Linked DNA regions of Sus scrofa. The protein of the gene in region 4 purifies or fractionates together with the protein of the main gene of each other region. This does not show direct contact. Links are inferred from orthologs where the notes say so. Each region holds a gene or a part of one and is shown on either strand. Other genes may lie near its edges. The genes, in order: EXOC8, EXOC3, EXOC6, EXOC2 and EXOC7.

Region 1 (4,199 bases), on a different chromosome or scaffold from region 4:
CCAAAATTTACCCTGAAACCAGTTTTCTCAACTCCTCCTTTCTTTTCCCCAAATTGTTCAACCACATTTTAAGGTGCAGAAGTACACGAGGCAGGAATGGCACTGTGCCCTTTAAGAAACCTAGTGAACTGGGAAACTTTCAAAACACAAGTTGAAATGCTCTGGTGTGACGATATATAGTCATTAGAGAGTTAGCATAATTTAAAAGGAAAGCATATTGTATGTTCTACTAATTCAATGTTTTTGTTACGTGGGTTTAACATGTTTTTCAATCTCCTTTTGATTTTCGCATTTCTGAGAAGGCATCTTTTATTTTTAGGCTGTGTTTGAGACTATAAAGAATACGCTAATGCAACTTAATATAAATATAAATAATATATATAAGCCATATATACGTATACACATAAACAGGTCCAGGTGTCAGACCACTGACGTTGTACTTTCGGGATTCACACGAATCAGTCTCGATGCATTTCTCAGGTCCTGAAGTTGCTTGGCGGGTTTCCCCACACCTTCCTCAAACCTTTTCTCCACCACAGGCAGGACTGTTTCGTACAGAAAGGATGCATTCTGTCTGATAAAATTCTTCTTCTCTGGATCCTGCTCACACCGAAGACTGTAATCCACATGCTGAACAGCAACCAAAATGATTTCCACCAGGCTCTCCAACAGCACCATGTGCAGCTCCGGGAAATACAGCTTCAGCGCCTCTTCCAAGAAGCCCATGGTCTGTTTGGTGAAAGCCACCACCGTGTAACTCAGGTTCACCCAGCAGTCATCCCCCGTGTACTGCTCAAAGTTCCTCACCCCACAGCTCTTCATCTCCTCTTTGAGTTTACCCAGGGCCTCTGGAGTCATCAAGTTCATCCTCCTCCACATCTCCTCTGAGTTGCGATGCTTAGTGGCTTCGATGATGATTTCCTTGTAGCTGTGCAAGGCCCCCTGGATGTCTTTCACCAGGAGGGTGTGGATGATGAAGGTGAGGTCTAGCCCGATGTCACCCAGCTGCTGACAATGCTCCTTGGCCACCTTCACACACTCAGCTGCAGTGGAGAGGCTCTCCTTACTGTCGAACACCTGTTTGCTAAAGGCAGCCGCAAACGTGCCCAGGGCTGACCTCGCCCAGACCACGAAGGCCGAGTAGCAGCCCCCGTCGGTGCCTGCGAAGTCCGCCTCAAACTCCCTGGCCGTCTCGAGAAGGCTGGTGAAGAAGACGTGGCAGAGCTTGTGAATATAGAGTAAGGTGGCACCCTCGATGCGAAGCTGGCGGATTGCGGTATGCACAGCTGCTGCCCTGTTTCTCAAGAACAGCTCGCAAGCCTTAGTGCACTGGCCAAGCCGGATTAGTTGAGAAACGGCCCGACGCGTAGCCTTGGGACCGCCTCTCAGGGACCGATCCGGGGAGAGTTCAAAAACCAGCACCTCGGTGAGCTGGCGGACACGCTCATCCACTCTGGCCCTCAGTTCTTTTACAGCAGGTGGACTGGGCTTATCTTCCAGGTACTGGTTCAACTTATCCAGCAGGTCAACGGCCCCTTCAAAGTCCCTCTGGGCGATGCAAACATCCAGGTCTTCGGGCAATTCCTGGATCCATTCCATTGAGAGGTCCACCTTCTCTTCTTCCGCCTCAGGAACAGCTGGTTCGTCGTCGTCTTCATCTTCAAACGGGTTGCTGGCCTTGGAAGTCACTTGGGGTGGCCCTCGAGGGGCCGCTGCCTCCTCCTGCTCCCTGCGTCTTTTCTCACTGAGGGCCCTCTTGGTTTCCTCCAACACTTCCAGCCACTCGCGTTTGATTTTTGCATTTTCCGCCTGAAAAATACGACTCTCGGGAAACATTAGCAACTTGAACATGTCCTTCATGGGGGGATTGTCCTTGACATTGACTACGGCCAAACCATCCAGGGGATAGAGGGCGTCGTAGCGATACATCCCCCGCCGCTGTGGCAACCAGGTGGCCACCAGCAAACAGTCGTTCATGAGAAAGCCGTGCACTCGCTGCAACTGGGCCATATGATCCGCCTCGTATTCCACCAGGTCCCCGTTGTACACCAGGTACTGTCCCGGCGTCTCCAGCAGGTGCCTGCAGCCTTCCACCTTCTCCAGCAGAGTGGTAAGAGTGCGCTGCTTCCCTTCCTCGCCCGGACCAGAACTGTCGCGGGAGGCGCCCCCGGGACTTGGGAAAAAGCCAGCCTGGCCCCGGAGGTGATCGCGGCCCCCCGCGCTGCCTCCACCCTCCTCCCCTCCGGAGGCGGTGGCGGCCCCAGCAGCGGCTGCGGCGGCGGCCGGCAGCAGGGTGAGCGGGATGCTCTCCAGGTTGCTCTTCTGCTCGGTCAGCAGATGGCTAAGCTGGTACATCTCGCTCTCCAGGTAGGAGATCTCGCGGGCCGTCTCTATGAACTGCCGGTAGTTCTGGTAGACGTTACGCTTCAGGTTCTGCGCCGTCTCCTCCGCCAGCGCCTGGATGCGCTGCCGGTGCTCCTGCAGGTCCCGGTCCCCGTCCGACTGCTGCGAGAGCTGCTTCACGTACAGCCGCGCCTCGAAGCTGCCCGACTCCAGCTGCCGCCGCAGGCGGCTCGCCCCACTGTCTGACATCGCCATCGCCATTTCCGTCGGGGACTCACGTAGTCACTGTCACTATTACTACCGCCGCCGCTGCCGCCGCCGCCACTGTCGAGGCCCACCCAACCCGGCCGAGTCCAGGGCTGAGGAAGCAGGATGGAAGACAGGCGAGTACGCCTGCGCCCGGGTCTGAAGTCCGGACACTGCGCCTGCGCAAGATGCCCCTCGCAAACAGCGCGCCGGCGCAGGGTCGCCAGTGGCCTAGGGCGCATGCGCCGGAGAAGCTCCTGCGGAAGCGAGTGGAGGGCGGAGCAGCGAGGTGTAGATACTGCGCATGGGCCGAGCATGACGTTGATGTTTGACCGTACCCGCGAACCGTAAAGGCGGTATCCGGCTACTTGAAACCTTCCTCGGGCTCAAGCTTCGGGAACCCAAGTGTTGAGCCCACTAGGAGGTGTCATGCTGAATTTTCTTTGTTGTTTTAAGCCCTAGAATCTTGACTGGAGTTCGGGGCACGCTCGGTTCTCTTTCTCGAGCCGGAGTTTACTAGGTCTCGCGAGATCTGTGGCCTGACCCGAGAGTGGCCTGGGAGCTGGTATCTCCTAGGAGCACGGCTAGGCTCTCTGAGCCATCTGGACTCCGCCTGGTAGCCGGGCAGCCATGGATGAGGACCTGGTTCTGGCTCTTCGGCTTCAGGAAGAGTGGAACTTGCAGGTCTCGGAGCGCAATCCGGCCCAGGAGCCCCTGTCGCTGGTGGACGCGTCCTGGGAGTTGGTGGACCCCACGCCGGATTTGCAGGCCCTGTTTGTGCAGTTCAACGATCGTTTCTTCTGGGGCAAACTGGAGGCGGTGGAAGTGAAGTGGAGCGTGCGGATGACGCTGTGAGTGCCGAGCCCGCCGGGACCGGACAGCTGGCGGCCCTTCCGCTGCCCCGGCGCCGGGGCAGTGACCCGGGTCGGGTCTAGGGACAGCCAGCCGTTCTCGGGCTTCCTCTCCCTTCCCTTCCTTCCTCTCTCACTGCCCTTGGTTAGCTCTCAGAAAGCCGTGTGGCCCACCCCGCGGCGATCTGACCGGTAAGGAACACAGTGAGAGAGAAGGATGTTTCTCAGTTTCCAGGAAAATGAGTTCACCCCTTTCCCCTTTCTGATCTAGGACCCAGGAGGGAGAAACAGCCAGAATCGGCCCCTAAAGATGCTGAGGGCGCCGGGAAGTGTGCTGTCCTCAGCTGTGGTCTTTACGGCGCCGCTGCCTTGCAGTGAGCCGTGTGTCAGCTTGGGAAGGGGTCTATGTTTCCATAACTTTGGGACGCGGGGGTCTTCCGGGAGCCCTGTGAAAGGACCCTTTTCTTACCCGCTGAGTTGGAGAAAACCCCTTTTGAAATAAACGACTCCTGTACACCAACGGAGTTAACAAGTTTAAGGTGTAGCTGAACACTACCTGCTAGTTTTTGAATTGATACAAAACCACCTAGAATAAGGAGTTAAGATATGATATGAAGTTGCGTTGAAAGCACAGTTCTCCTTCATATATAATTATAATTTCGGAGGAACACTAGTGGAGATCTGGCCCTTTCCACCACAGACTGGTTGATTACACCTTTTAGGGAGAGGACAGGCAGCAGCAGGATGGGATTATCTTTG
Region 2 (4,094 bases), on a different chromosome or scaffold from region 4:
CACTGGTACGGCCCTAAAAAAAGCACACACACAAAAAAGTAGCAGGTCTAAACTATTTTTAAAATTGACATGAAACTGTTTCAAGCCAGCCTAACAGGTCTTTCAATGCTTTGCTGGTGCAAATGAGTGATCACCCTTCCATCTCATCACACTCGCCATTATCTGGACGCTACCAATGCTTTTCACCTGGAGGGGGCCTCACTGCCGCCTCGCTGGGAAGATTCACCTTCCTCACAGCCATTCTCTCCCTTTGTGTTTTTAACTCAATGAATTTTATTCCATTTGTAGGTGTACAACAATCATCACAACCAAATTTTACAGCATTTCTATCCCAAACCCCCAGCCCATCCCCCCACCCCCAACCTGTCTCCTTTGGAAACCGAAAGTTTTTCAAAGTGAGTTAGTGTCTGTTATGCAAAGAAGTTCCTTGTGCCCTTTTTTCAATTCCACATGTGACAGCATATGACATTGGTGTCTCACTGTCTAACTCCACTTGGCATGATAATTTTCTTGGTCCAACCACGTTGCTACAAATGCCATTCTTTCTTTACTTTTAATGGCTGAGTAATATTTCATTGTGTACATGTATCAAAGGCATTCTCTTAAATCCGCAAAGACTGCTGTGCTGCCAGGCAACTATAACAGGCCAGGTTCTTAACTTTTTTATAACTGTACCAAATGTGCATTATTTTAAAAGAACCTCATCTCTCCACATGAAATGAGCTGAAAGCCAATCTAAATCATAAAAGGCTGCCGCCTTTCTTTCTTGCCTCACTCTCACACACTCTAGTAAATGTGGTCAGCTCTCCTCTTTCCCATCCCAGGGCCTGCAGAGTGCCTGGCACACAGTCAGCCTCCTGCTGTGTGTGCTAGCAGGATCCAAACGAAATGCCCTCTGGACACAGTCTGAAGGAAAGTTTTTAGTAAATAAGTGTTTTTTTAAATAGTTAAATGGACACTTCTGGGTGCTTAAAAGACTGTTCCTCTGGCTTTTTAAATCTTCCCACGGTCTTCTCTATAAACCTACCGGCTGGCAAGGAACTGTTGGAAAGGATGCACTAACAAAGGCAAAGTCCATGGCCTGCCTCTCTTCATGGCATCACAAAGCCCAGCTCGGCAAAATTACAATGATTCTGCTAAGCAGGAACCTGAACTTGGGACAAAAGGCTCGGTCCAGCCTGAGAGTGAAGCAGGCGCCCACAGCCACCCCAGTCTCCACTCCAGTCTCATACCTTCAGCCTGGCTTCCACGGAGGCCTTCTTCCTGGCCTCTCTTCTGCGGTACTGCTCCACTTTGTCCAGCTGGTCCGGGCGCTGGAGCATCCCGGCAACCCTCTGGACAGCTGTTGCAACAGCCTCCCGGTCCGTCTCCTTCATGGTTACAGAGCAGGCAGAATCTCTGCACCTGTCATACTAGGGATACCCTGTGTCCACAGGCAGAGACAGAACAGGAGAGGAGGATGTGTCAGGAAGGTAGAGATGTCAGGTACAAAGCATCCCCCTGCTCCAGTAACATTCAGTTGTTCACAGTGGAGCTATAAGGAGAGCATTTGAGATCATTAATCTAATAGACATGAAACACAGCTGAGCTAGGATTATGACCTCCTTGATATGAAACACAAACCTTCAGAACCCAGTGTTATCCCTAAGGGGCGCAGAGGCAATTACAAGCATAAGATATTAACATGCGGATCCAGACTACTCAGCACCTCAGATGTCAATCTCCCCCGGACAGGTCCAATTTCTAATTGCCACCAGCCCTGACTAGCCAGTGGGGCCGAGGTGCCAGGACGCCTCAGGAAAGCTATGGAGGCACAGTGACAGCACACACTTTACCGTGCCTGCTCAAGTTTGAGCACCATCCTCTGATCCCCCTCAAAATCACTGTCTGTAGCACCCAAAATTCCATTCCCTACTGCTTAACAGCCCTAGTAAACAGAGGTGAGAGGGCACAAGGCACTCTGCTCAGATGCAATGTACACAGCACAGATGCTGCATACAAGCACACCTGCCTTCAGCGCCAGCTCCTCCAACCTGCCAGCCAGGGAGCTGGCGACGCCTGCTGAGCTTTCGGCAAAGCAGAGGACTGACTTCAGCTACTGAAGTCCATTTCCATGCACATTTTCTGCGCACGGCTTCTCAAAGATATTTCTCAAAGCAACGCGAGGTCCGCGGAGACCCTTGAGGGACCTGTGAAATAACTCCCCCGTCTGCACACGAGTGCGTTCCGTGTTCTCTCGGAATGTGCTGTGGCGCCGTCTCTCCCCTCCCGGTGCTGACTAGGGCACCGCGCACACGACGGGACACACGGGGCTGGGGGGCGCCGGCGTGTCTCCCCGCCCGTCTCCGCCGCGGACCCCCAGCCGCGCCCGCAGCTCTGCACCTGCTACTCCCCACCGCCTGGCGCGCCGTCAGCCTCTCCACGGACCGTCCCCGGGCCTCCCACGGCCTCCCGCACTGCCTTCCGGCCGCGCCCGCACCCGCCCGAGCCCGGGGAGAGGACAGCGGCCACGGACCGCGACTCCCGGACTGTGCCACCCGCCCGCAGCGGCCTCACCTTGCGAGCCGCCGCCGCCGCCGCCCGGAAGTGAGCCGCGACCGGCACTTCCGCTTCCGGCCTCGTGACCGGAAGGGGGTGGGCCCGGCGGGCGGGACCTTTGTTGGGCGGGTCCCTGTGCACAGAGCTGGGAGATTTCGGGACCCGCTGTCGATAGGGACCCGCTGTCGACCGGGACCCGCTGTCGACCGGCACCCGCCGAGAGTCGGCCGGGGCTGCGGGACGAGCGCGGAGCCGGGAACCGGGCGGCTGGGCTGAAGCCTGAGGGGCGGAGCGCGAGCGCATACACCCAGCGCGGAGACGCCTCTCACGGACGTCACAGGCACGCAGACACCCTACACACACCACATATAGACAGGCCACACCGCACACACGGGGCGCACAAGCACACACATGCACACGCCTGGGCTCGTGGGGGCAGGGGGCACGTGGGGGCAGGTGTATGAGTCCCCCAGTGCGGTGGCCCTATAAACCCAAACCTCCCAGCCCCCGCCCTCGCGGGGCCTCCAGTCCCTGGGCCTCCTCCACCTCCTGCCCCGTCTTGGCCCAGAGGCCGCCTTTCCCACAAAATCGCCGCTTGGCTATAAGACCCCAGCTGTTCCATCTGTGCCGCCATGTTCCCTCCAGAGGCGTTGCAGAATTTACCCAGCTCTTGGGTCACTTATCTGCACCCCGTCCCCTGTACACGTGCACAGGGGTGTCAGCGGCAGCACAGCCGCATTTCTCCATCTTTTTTTCCTAATGTGTCTTAAGCACTATCACAGGGCCTGGTATTCAGCAGGGGATGGACTGAAGGAAGGAAATGCACATAGAACAGCTCACTACCACTTCGCAGAGACAAAGCTAGAACATCTGATGGCGGGGCTTCATTTGCAAAATCAAGAAGACATTTCCACTTAAAGCAGACACATACTAACATTTATTTTACATCCATATTGCGAATTTAACAAGAACCACAGTATCAGAAATGCATTTGAAAGCTCTTTCTAAAGGCACTGAGAAAAAGTACAAAAAGTTACATTATAGTGCATCCAATTTTTAAAAATTCAACGAGTCAGTCTCCATATTGAAAGTTTTTTTCATCCAGTAGAAACTGCAAAAATATAAAATACAATTTGTGTTTGTCTTTTCCCTTCCATATCATTCCTGTATACTTGATTTTAATATGTTCTCAGCTACACAGCCAAAAGCTACAGACAATAGAAACATATAAGCCGGTAATTAGTACTGGTAATGACATTTTAAAGCAGAAATGGCCACGCCTACAGAAATGGCCAGATCTGACCTTCTACATTCCATCATCACCTTCCCCACACAATTTTTCCATAGGGGCATGGCTGTAAAATCACAAAAGTGCTGACTGGGGGAAGTTTTGTTGCCACCGACCCAGCAGAGGAAGGGACCAGGGCACATCAGGACCTGGGTCCCAAGCATGATGGTACCTTTAGAACACAAACCCCTCAGAGCTGGTGTCCAGATGCTGATTCCACACCAACAAGGCTTAATCTGCCTGTCCACCAACCGTGACCAGTTTGGTG
Region 3 (3,211 bases), on a different chromosome or scaffold from region 4:
AAGCAACCTCTGACAATTTTAGTAATTTCAAAAGTGAAAAGATATTATACACTATGTTGGTTATAAAATGTAGTTAATGCAGTTTTTAAGAATGAATTTCCTTATTATGTTCCATCTGAGAAGCAGGTCACATTAAAATGGATCAAGAGCAGCATATACTTTATATTATCTGTAGATAAATAGCCAAAAATTGGTTTAACGTGTTTCCACATCTTCCTCAGCTCCTTGATCTGTTTATGGTTTGGGACTGGTCTACTTATCTAGCTGATTATGGTCAGCCAGCTTCCAAGTACCTTCGGGTGAATCCAAACACAGCCCTTACTCTTCTAGAGAAGTGAGTATATTCTGCAGTTTTCTTTGCATACCATTTAAGCATTTTGCGATTCAGTGATACTTGAAGAACTAGGGATTTTTATCAAAAGAAAAATGTCTCCATGAGCTTCCAAGTTCAGTTCTTTTCAATGACCAAAACTTAAGCCTCTGTCTTACTCGCCTTCAATGTCAGTGTAATTTTATATGAGATTGCTGTTTACGTTGATATGAACAAAACATTTTTCCTATTGTACCCTCAATACCTGGCTTAATTGGCTTTAGAAATACGTTTACTGGAGGTAAGTGAGAATTGGAACTATTTTTTAAAAATACTGTAACACAGGAAAGAAGGTATTTTGTAAAACATAGCCAGGGATTGGAATGTTTGCCACCAGTGCTGTCTAAATCCTACCATGATGGGCTTGGATTCTTTACAGGTAGAGAAGTATGAGTTTTGAAAAAATAATATTATAAAAACTGAATTAACCAGCGCGCCCTTTCCAGTTAGTAATAACACAACTGTAGGTACTACTTTTCCTTCTCATTATGTGGCAGGTTTTCTTTTCACTTTAGCCTATTTCATTTCATTTTTTTAATCATTTTTCACTTTAAATATCACTATTACAATTTTCAATTTTCCCACATTTCAGAATATCTGTGGTGTATTTGATTTGAGAGAAAACAAATACCTATTTTAAATAAATGTAAACTTGTTTTACAGTGCCATAAAACACAACTGAGGCAAAAAATTTGCTGCTTTAAATTTTCTAGTGTTACTTTTGCTTTCACCCTGTCTTGCTCTGAGTGATACGCAAAGTCTAGAGGGTATATGTTTTAGCATACTTTATGAATGGTATGAGAAAACTTAACATGCTTTATATTTGCATACTAATGCAAAAAGAGGACTTCATATAGAATGCAAAATAAAGCTGCTAATAATCTGTGTGGTTGCTATCTCTGTAATTCTATTAGTAGTACCTATTTTCTTTGAAGTATATTTTTCAAGCATAGGATTAGGGTGAGCTAATCCAGAGCACACCGAGATATTTTACTTGTGACAGTGCAACTTTTAATTTCCTTTTACTAATAAACATTTCATAATAATTCACATATATTCCTAGGATGAAGGATACTAGCAAAAAGAACAATATATTTGCTCAATTCAGAAAGAATGATCGAGACAAACAGAAGTTGATAGAGACAGTCGTGAAACAGCTGAGAAGTTTGGTGAATGGTATGTCCCAGCACTCATAGACTTCACATCGCTTGCACTCAGTGACACCAAATCCGTGACTCATCATTGATCTCTGACAGGCACTGCTCATGATACAGAAAGTTGTTTGAAGAATTCGAAAATACATTAGAGAAAAGACACTGATGAGAGCTTAAACAAGAAACAATTATAAATATCATTTGTATGGATTTTTAAATAATTGAATACTATTTTATATATGGAAAATGTGACATTAATTTTTTTCACTTTTAGGGAAAAAAGGCAAGACTGTAATATATAAATAAGGTCAAAATGTATATGAAACTGATTGTAAATATATTAGAAAAACTTACGTCTCTACATATAAGTATTCTTTTTCTATTTAGACGTAAATGATTTTTTCTGGGTTTTTTTTTTTCCCTCAGTATCTGGTTTTGGAATGCAATTATGTCTGATATTTCATTTTCTGACCTTTTAGCTTGAATTTTTACCTTAGTGTGATTTAAGTAGACTAAGTTTTCCAATTCTGCTGATTCTGAGGAAGGAATAGACAAATCTTTAAAGGCCACTGAAATCAAACTTGATTTAACCCAATAAGAATGTGAATTATTTGTTCTACTGAGGTGGTTTAATTTAATCTGAAGCTATGAAGAAAAGGTGTTTGGATTTTCTACAGAGGCAATGTTGTTTCTGTTCAGCAGGATTAATATTTCTAACTATATTGTTTGTGGCTGACCCTATTTATTTAGTTTGGTTTGGTTCAAGTTAGAAGGACAGAAACTAAACGGCTAACCACCTCAGATGCAGCTTGTGCTAGGATAGAAGTGTTCCTACACACAGAAGTCACCACAGGGGTCAGGTTACCTTCTTCAAAGAGCAGCTCTGAGTACTGTATCCTTACTGTGGAAACAAACCAAACCGAATGAACTCTGGAAAACCCAAAACGAATGTACATTTACTCTGTGTAAAGTACTACGGTCCAAATGGCAATGTCAGCCTGATCCTTACTTTCTCTTCATTGTATTTATGCTGAATGGTCCTTTTGCATTTTCAGGATTTATGCCTGTAAGAAACTTATGTTTGACTCTGTAAAAATAAGTGTAAAGAATTACATGTATGTTTTTTGATTTTGTGATGAAATATTAAAAAGGTTGAGCAAGTTGAAAATTCATTACTATTGTATCTATTTAGAGCCACTTAAAATAACTGCTTCCTTCAGAAAGGCTATTATTCTCTGGTAATTGGAAAGTGTCATCAAAGCAAAGAAAACAATCATATATTCCCTTGGCCAGCTCTTATTCAAAAGTATTTAACATTTTAAAAAACGTTACATAGAAAACATGGTAACAATACAATCTGGAAGTTACAAGAGAAGCAGAATGGGTGAACAGCTAGTTCACCTCAAAGCTAGCTCTCTCTGAGGACTGGAATGTGGTGTCCCTTGGGTGCCTTACCCAGCCCTCCAGGGCACTCAGAACGTCTCCAGCTTGGGCTGAGGCATCCTCGATTCGGAGAGAGAGACATGCTGTCTTTGCACTGCCTGCGGCAGACCACTGTGGGTCCTCAGCAGTGATGGATTTGAGGAGTTCACTTTACTCTTTTCAGTAAAACAAGCACCCTGCACTCTCCCCCACCCCCAACTTCGAGTTGCGCGCTGTAGCGACTATAACCCTGAGACCTGGGACA
Region 4 (3,515 bases):
ACGTCTCCATTGGTTTATACAGGACTCATTTCTGCCCAACCTCACTGCACACAGGACTTGAGCGCGGAGCGGAGCGTTTGTACGTTTTAGGCGAGAAGGCACACATCCTGGAGCTGTGCGAAGCCAGTTTCGTGTGTGTGTGTGTGTGTGTGTGTGTGTGTGTGTGTGCGCGCGCGCGCGCTCCAGCACCTGTGCACGTGCTCACGTGCTAAGCCAGGGCAGGGCTGTGGTTGCATGGACGGAATGGGACAGAGAAGCAGAGACGTGCTATCAGCTGGAAGCAGACGCTTTACCCCGAAAGGAGCCAGATCTGGGCTGATTCCTCAAGACCCGGGTTGGGCACCTTTCCGGCCTTTTCTTCGCTCCGCTAAAGGGCTGAGCTGCACCACTGGGAAGAGCGGGGCTCTCACCTCGAGAAGCTGTTCCCTCCAAAGAGGAGAGAGCTGAATTGGCGACCGTGAGCGAGGAGCTATGAGGGCAGGGGAGGAACGGGGTGGGGTGAGCGGGGGGATGGCGCTGAGAACGCGGCTGGAAACAGAGCAGACGACACAACCACTGTCCACCCGCACAGTCGGTTACCTGTGTGATCTTTTCTATGCCCTGGAAGTTGTGCTTTTCAAAGTGTTCTGCTATGTTTCGGAAGGTGTGCCGTTCTAGGTAGCAGCAGTTACTCAGGACTATCAGAAGTCGCTGTTCCTAAAACCAAGTTTTTAGAAAATTACATTTACAGTAACAAATTGCAAGTCTCAGAGATAACATTTATCCCCTAGCAAATTTAATTACAATCACTTGGTGTTTAATATCAATATTCAATGCTTTTTCTAAATTCTTTTAATAACAGAGAAACACAATACAATTCTATAATTCTACTATTGCTCGTTATGACAGAACACTAAAGAGTCAAATAACTTTTGACTCAAATCCCTTTTGGAATTTAATAGCTGTGTGGAAGAGATTGATGGGACACAGAAAAGCAGTCAAGCAGGATCAGCTGCTATTCTCAGGAAAAGGATTCTACTTTTCATCCTTTTTGCACCAAGAGTTATAAAAATGGCTGTTTAAAAATAATTACTAACAAGTTGTAAAACTCTTAGAAAGTAATTTCTAAGCTTCTCATAATGTGGAAGAGAACTGGGATGTCATCAAAGAGGGGCTGTGCAGAGCCTCCTTCCCACGGGAGTCGGGGGACAGGGGCCCGGGGGCCCTCCCAAGGCAGCTGGGTGGGAGGGGGCACCCCACACTCCCCGGGAAGCTAGCTGTGCAGGGTAACTTCTTATCAGAATGACAGAGCCCCGGCTGATGGTAAAACACCCTGTGACAGTTCCCAGAGTGGCGCTGCCGTTGCTTGGGGCTCAGCAAGCACTGCCCCTGCTTCCTCAGGTGAGAGGGCTTCTCCGAAAGGACTGTGACTAATTCGGGCCTTGATTTAGACCCTTGATAAAATGAGGGCAAAACTCCTTTCCAGGAGAAGCTCTCCCCACGCCGTGCTGGCTGCTGGTTGCCAGTCAGGTGCTGTAGGTTAAGGGAGGAGGACAGAGGGAATAACCAGGCCCTGGCAGGTGCACAGACCACAGGGGCGACGCTCACTGAGCCCACACCAGCCAGAATCCCGTTCAGTCCCTTCAAAACGTGTGAAACTTTTTGTCTTTAAAGTTTATTTAAAACTTTATTTTTTATTTATTTCTGGCAGAGTGTGCCCCTTTTGCTGTCTTTTGTGGTCCTCAACAAAAATAATGAAAAAGCCCCAGAACTGCTGAAGTGCATTCAAAGCAATGGAAGGCCGTCTGAGGCCTGAGTGACCGGGGACGGGAAGGGGAGCCTAACGAGGTACAAGCAGGCGGTACGTCCACCCTCCACCAGGCTCTATGTTCACACTGCAGGGAGGGGCACCAGGAGGTGACAGGCGGGGGCCGGGGGAGGCCAGACCTCCTGCCCATGCCTGGTGGTGCCATTGCGTGGTCCTTGCAAAGGACATGGAGCCAAGTCCTTGTGACATGCCATCAGCCCAGAGCACGCCGCCTCGCCATGCTCTCCCGCGGTCCCAGTTTGCAACCCGTCTTAATGGCTCTCCCTCTGGAGCCTGCCCCTGAGCACCGGCCTCCTCCAGAGGCCAGGCCCGGCCTGCCACGCCTGCTGTGCCCCGTCCGTTTGTTAACTCGGGTTGATGGTTACCCTTACGATCTGAACGGTTCTTCTAAAATGGAAAATCTATTTGAGTGATTTCAAGTTTTACTCTTCGTAAGTGCATTTTTTTTTTCTCAAACAGAAGAAACAACCACGGGAAGAAAAACTAAACATACAAATAATCAAATTCTAAAATTAAATGATTCATCAGAAGCTTATGAACAACTTAAATAAACACGTCTGAAAATAACAACGCAACCTGTCCGAGCAGCACCTGCAGCCTGAGGACCACAGTTACTGCAGCCTCTGCGATGCAGGCTCTTCAGCACGCAGCAGGCCAGGAAGCGAACCAGAAACCTTTCTTCCCACAGCTGCCTCTGCTGGATGCCAGAACAGGTCCCTGCGGAGACCTTGGTCACCTGGGCCAAATCCAACGAGCCAGCCACGCGACAGGGAAAAACAGAGGGGCTGCATTCAGAACCTACTTACAGGCGTCAAACTGAGCTCTTGATGGATACTTCCAAACAAATCCGGAGAAGCAACGTCAACGGAGAGGCTGAATAAAGAGACAAGAGAAGAATGAGTGTGGAAGCACTAAAGCAAACAGCGCGAACAGAATGTCATAGGTGGATTACATGCACCGCAACAAAAAAAGACTTCGAAGTCTTTCAGTCAAACGTCAAACGTCGCATAGTTGTCTGTGTTTCTGAGCACGGACACCGGGACCCTCTTACCATGGTTCCTGCCACATGAGCTTCAGGGTCTTCCGAATCCCTAGCAGCGGGGGTTCCGAGCACAGACTCTCCAGCCAAAACGTGCTCGCCCATCAGAATCTAGACATTCTGGGGTGTTCTGAGCTCACGTGCATAGAAATGACTAACAGGTGAGCTGAGTTAGGAACGTCCCTAACAACCCGCAGGCGACCAGACACCTGACGTGGTAGAGGGACGACACCAAGGGCCACGGCTTAGTTGACAGACGCAGCAGGACTCGAACAGGATGTCTTTTCTTTAAGCCTAACCAACCGATTTTAGCATCATAAGGAAAACTAAACAGATGGAAATATCAAACAACATTTAAAAACAGAGAAGCGGGAGTTCCCGTCGTGGCTCAGTGGTTAACAAATCTGACCAGGAACCATGAGGTTGCGGGTTCGATCCCTGGCCTCGTTCGGTGGGTTACGGATCCGGCATTGCCGTGAGCTGTGGTGTAGGGCGCTGATGTGGCTCAGATCCCGAGTTCCTGTGGCTGTGGTGTAGGCTGGCGGCTACAGGTCCGATTGGACCCCTAGCTTGGGACCAACCCTCCATATGTCATCGGTGCGGCCCTAAAAAGACCAAAAAAAAAAAAAAAAAAAAAAGAGAAACAATAAAAGGATAACAATCCAATAA
Region 5 (3,515 bases), on a different chromosome or scaffold from region 4:
CCGTGGGGAAATATAAAAACAGCACTGAAAACAGACATGCGCAGCTGCCCTGATAACCAGATGGGCCGGGGCCGGGAAGGCAGCCCTGAGTGGGATCTGGTCCCTTTTCCCTGGAGACGCCCAGGTCCTCCACCGCAGCTCTGAACACGGGGAGCCTGCTGGGGTCCTGGCAGCTCCCCAAAGGACTGAGGGAGAGGGGACGGCGTCTGGAGCGGCTGTTTGTGCCAACCACAATTAGTTACTCATGAGCCAGTGTGCGGCTCCAGCCCGGCACCTGTCTCGCTGTGTTCTCCTCCTTCAGCAAGTAGTCCTGCTAATGAGCGATTCAGATTCCCGCCCCACAACCAACTAGGACCAGATGGGCCCGCCGGGCCATCAGGAGCCTCGCCAGCACACTGGCATGTATGTGGGTCGGGGACGCTGATCTGGCAGCCGCTAAAGCCATCAGGCGCCCAGTTACCACGGATGTCGCTGAGGCTGGTGTCTCGTTACCCCCGAGGCCACCCTGCCCCTCTCCTCAAGAGCTGGGGGCCTGCCTCTAGCTCCCAACATCGGACCTGAGCCCCAAGGTTCCGGACAACCCTTGAAACCCCAAAGAAACCAGAGGGACGCTCACAGCCGGCGTTTTCCTTCTAGGGCTACAGGGCTGGGATGGATGAGGTCCACTGGGAGCCCAAAGATCAGATCTCTGGTCCCTGCATGGCCAGCAGCATCCTGCATGTGGCCTGGGTTCCAGGCCTCCAGGGGTCCCAGAGGAGACAGAGGGGAAGAAAGCACAGCCCGGCCGGGGCCCAGCAGCCTCGTGGAAACAGCCGCAGCCCAATGCACGAGGCACAGGCACGAACCAGGCCTCGAGCAGGCAGCTGCGGCTGCCCTGGCTGGCTTGTAGAGTCCCTGACCGTGGCAGGTTCTCCGAGGGAGCAGCCAGGAGAGCCAAGCTGGAGGGGAAGGCTGTGCACTTTCTGCTGGGCTGCCCGGCCTCTGGACCTCGACGCTGTGCCTCTGCGGGCAGCCTCTGCCATTTCTCTAAGCCCTGAACAAAGCGCTGGGGAGGAGCAGATGCTCGGGCCACTGTGAGCAGATCTCCTGCTCTCTGAGAGGCCGGGCAGCTCGGGAAAACACTGTCCCAAGGGACGGGTCCCAGAGCAGCTGGACGGGGTGGGCGAAAGTGGGAGCAGCCCCAGGGCTCGCTGGCTCTCTCTCCTGGTGCCTGCAGCCCCTCCGCTGGAACCCCCACCCCGGCCTCTCGAAGGCAACCCCTCTCAGCAGCCAGAACAGCCAGGCTTGTCAAGCCGAAGCTGACACACAGGGACACTGTCACCTGGAGCAGAGACTACAGGGGACAGGATGATGGGAAGAAGGACAGACAGTGAGCTGCTCGCCCAGGCCAACCAACAAGCCACAGCCCAGGCCTCTTCCACCTCAATGCCCCTCCCTCAACTCTCCCACCGCAAGGCACCAACTTCTTGCGGAGCCCAAAAGCCAGGTGAGGGTCTTTGGAGAGGATGGCCTGGGATGGTTTTCTTTCTGGACTGACTGTAAAAGCATAAACGTTCCTGTATCTACTTTTTTTTTGCCATGGCTGAGGCATGTGGAAATTCCCGGGCCAGGGATCGAACCTGCGCCACAATAGTAACCAGAGCCACAGCAGTGACAACACCAGATCCTTAACCCTTTGAGCCACCAGGGAACTCCTCTGCTCTCCACTTCTTAGCTACTCATCACTTCAGGCCACTCTGGCTTTCTGGGAGGTGAAGGCTGCAGTGCCTGCCCCTCGCCCTGCACCCCTGACACCCTGCCCCAATCTCACAGCTGGGTGGCAGCAGCATGCCTGGCCTCCCAACAGGACACTAGAGGGAGAGGACGGGGGCCCAATAAGTGGCTCTGCTCCGGCACCCCTGTCACCCCACGTCTCCGTGCTGTGACCCTCCACTCCAAGGACACTTATATAAGCCCTAGACTCGGCTGGGTGGAGAGAGGAGCTCTTTTGGGGGGCGGACACCTGCCTGCTGTCCTGTGCCCCTACAGTCAGGGGCTACCGTGAGGACAAACCCTAGGGCCCTGGCGCCGCCCACCCCGGGGTGGGTGGCCAAAGGCCACCCAGGTCCCACAGCCTTCTGGCGGGTTCTGAAGTGGGCCAGGGCGGGGGCTCACCTGGCCGCTTGACTGGCTTCTTGGTGGGTGTGTCTTTCCTCTTGTTGGGGATGGCGGGGGAGTAGGGAACCCCAGAGGAAGAACTGCTCTTCCGGAAGTGCTCCTTCAGGCCTTTGATGGAGCGGTCCAGCTGGCTCGAGCGGATCTGGTAGTAGACGTTCATGAAATCTGCGGACAGACGGGTGACAGCTGGGTCCCTGCCTCCGCCAGACCCCGGGGCCCCCCTCCCCCGCCAGAGGCAGCTCCAGAGGGCAGCAGCAGGCCCGCTCTTTCCACTTGCAGACCCTTTCCCAGCAGCCTCGTGGCCTCGTCCTGCATCTGGAAAAGCCTTAAAAGGGAAGACATTTCCCCGCAGAACCAATAATTCGTTGTAAGTTCTGAAGGTGAGGGGTTTTTTTTCTTTTAGAATTTTTTTTTATTATAGTTGATCTACAACGTTCTGTCAATTTCTGCTGGGCAGGTAAGTTTTTGAGATTTTAAGAAAATAGAAAATTAGCAGCCGGATTCAACTTGGTAATGTATTCTTTTTTATCTTGTTCAGCCACACCCACGGCACATGGAGGTTTCTGGGCCAGGGATCAAATCTGAGTTGCAGCTTCGAACTATGCCATCGCTGTGGCAACGCTGGGTCCTTAACCACTGCGCTTGCCGGGGATTGAACCTGCGCCACCACTGGATCCTTAATCTACTGTGCCACAGCGGGCACTCCTCGACTTGGTAAATTTATAGGTGGTAAAGAGACAACGAATGTCACTGAGTGAAAAAACACACCATCTCTTTAGCCATGAACGAAGTGCAAATTTAAAAAAACTAGAGGACCGTGGCAGCCCTGTTAAATAGCTAAGATAAGCAAAATTAATGAAGAAGAAATAACTGCAGGGTTGTCAACAGGTCAGCAGACTGGTCCCATCTACCTGGAGAGGAACTCGAGACGGCAAGAAGGTTACAGATCTGTTCAGACAGTTCTACCTGATAACTGTACCTTTGAGAAAATACCCCCAAAGAACTCCCTAAATAAGAAGAGCAATGGGGGTTCCCATCATGGCAAAGAGGAAAGGAATCTGACTAGGAACCATGAGGTTGCAGGTTCGATCCCCCCTGGCCTCGCTCAGAGGGTTAAGGATCCGGCATTGCCATCAGCTGTGGTGTAGGTCACAGATGTGGCTTGGATCCTGCGTTGCTGCAGCTGTGGGGTAGACTGGCAACTGTAGCTCTGATTCAACCCCTAGCCTGGGAACCTCCATATGCCATGGGCGCAGCCCTAAAGAAAACTGGACAATCCAAAAATGCAAACGAGCCTGGAGAAGTATGGATGCTGTGGTACATTTCAGCAGGTCCCAACAAGTGTATCCCAAGGAACC

The links.
Region 1: the proteins of EXOC2 (region 4) and EXOC8 purify together in Homo sapiens (affinity purification with mass spectrometry; 7 studies listed by BioGRID and IntAct, counting the BioPlex papers as one, with this or other methods). This does not show direct contact. The link is inferred for Sus scrofa from reciprocal best matches to the Homo sapiens genes EXOC2 and EXOC8.
Region 2: the proteins of EXOC2 (region 4) and EXOC3 purify together in Homo sapiens (affinity purification with mass spectrometry; 6 studies listed by BioGRID and IntAct, counting the BioPlex papers as one, with this or other methods). This does not show direct contact. The link is inferred for Sus scrofa from reciprocal best matches to the Homo sapiens genes EXOC2 and EXOC3.
Region 3: the proteins of EXOC2 (region 4) and EXOC6 purify together in Homo sapiens (affinity purification with mass spectrometry; 5 studies listed by BioGRID and IntAct, counting the BioPlex papers as one, with this or other methods). This does not show direct contact. The link is inferred for Sus scrofa from reciprocal best matches to the Homo sapiens genes EXOC2 and EXOC6.
Region 5: the proteins of EXOC2 (region 4) and EXOC7 fractionate together in Homo sapiens (co-fractionation; 4 studies listed by BioGRID, with this or other methods). This does not show direct contact. The link is inferred for Sus scrofa from reciprocal best matches to the Homo sapiens genes EXOC2 and EXOC7.

What each region holds. Positions count from the first base shown.
Region 1 is NC_010456.5:59,190,952-59,195,150, reverse strand, and holds the start of EXOC8 (exocyst complex component 8), read right to left. Parts: upstream 2,807-4,199; 5' UTR 2,605-2,806; coding exon 421-2,604; 3' UTR 1-420. UniProt on the Homo sapiens protein: Component of the exocyst complex involved in the docking of exocytic vesicles with fusion sites on the plasma membrane.
Region 2 is NC_010458.4:79,727,468-79,731,561, forward strand, and holds the start of EXOC3 (exocyst complex component 3), read right to left. Parts: upstream 2,806-4,094; 5' UTR 2,557-2,805; exon of another isoform or gene 2,383-2,556; intron 1,424-2,382; 5' UTR 1,377-1,423; coding exon 1,233-1,376; intron 1-1,232. UniProt on the Homo sapiens protein: Component of the exocyst complex involved in the docking of exocytic vesicles with fusion sites on the plasma membrane.
Region 3 is NC_010456.5:104,546,943-104,550,153, forward strand, and holds the end of EXOC6 (exocyst complex component 6), read left to right. Parts: intron 1-221; coding exon 222-334; intron 335-1,433; coding exon 1,434-1,566; 3' UTR 1,567-2,696; downstream 2,697-3,211. UniProt on the Homo sapiens protein: Component of the exocyst complex involved in the docking of exocytic vesicles with fusion sites on the plasma membrane.
Region 4 is NC_010449.5:240,440-243,954, forward strand, and holds part of EXOC2 (exocyst complex component 2), read right to left. Parts: intron 2,681-3,515; coding exon 2,614-2,680; intron 697-2,613; coding exon 580-696; intron 1-579. UniProt on the Homo sapiens protein: Component of the exocyst complex involved in the docking of exocytic vesicles with fusion sites on the plasma membrane.
Region 5 is NC_010454.4:5,341,495-5,345,009, reverse strand, and holds part of EXOC7 (exocyst complex component 7), read right to left. Parts: intron 2,323-3,515; coding exon 2,155-2,322; intron 1-2,154. UniProt on the Homo sapiens protein: Component of the exocyst complex involved in the docking of exocytic vesicles with fusion sites on the plasma membrane.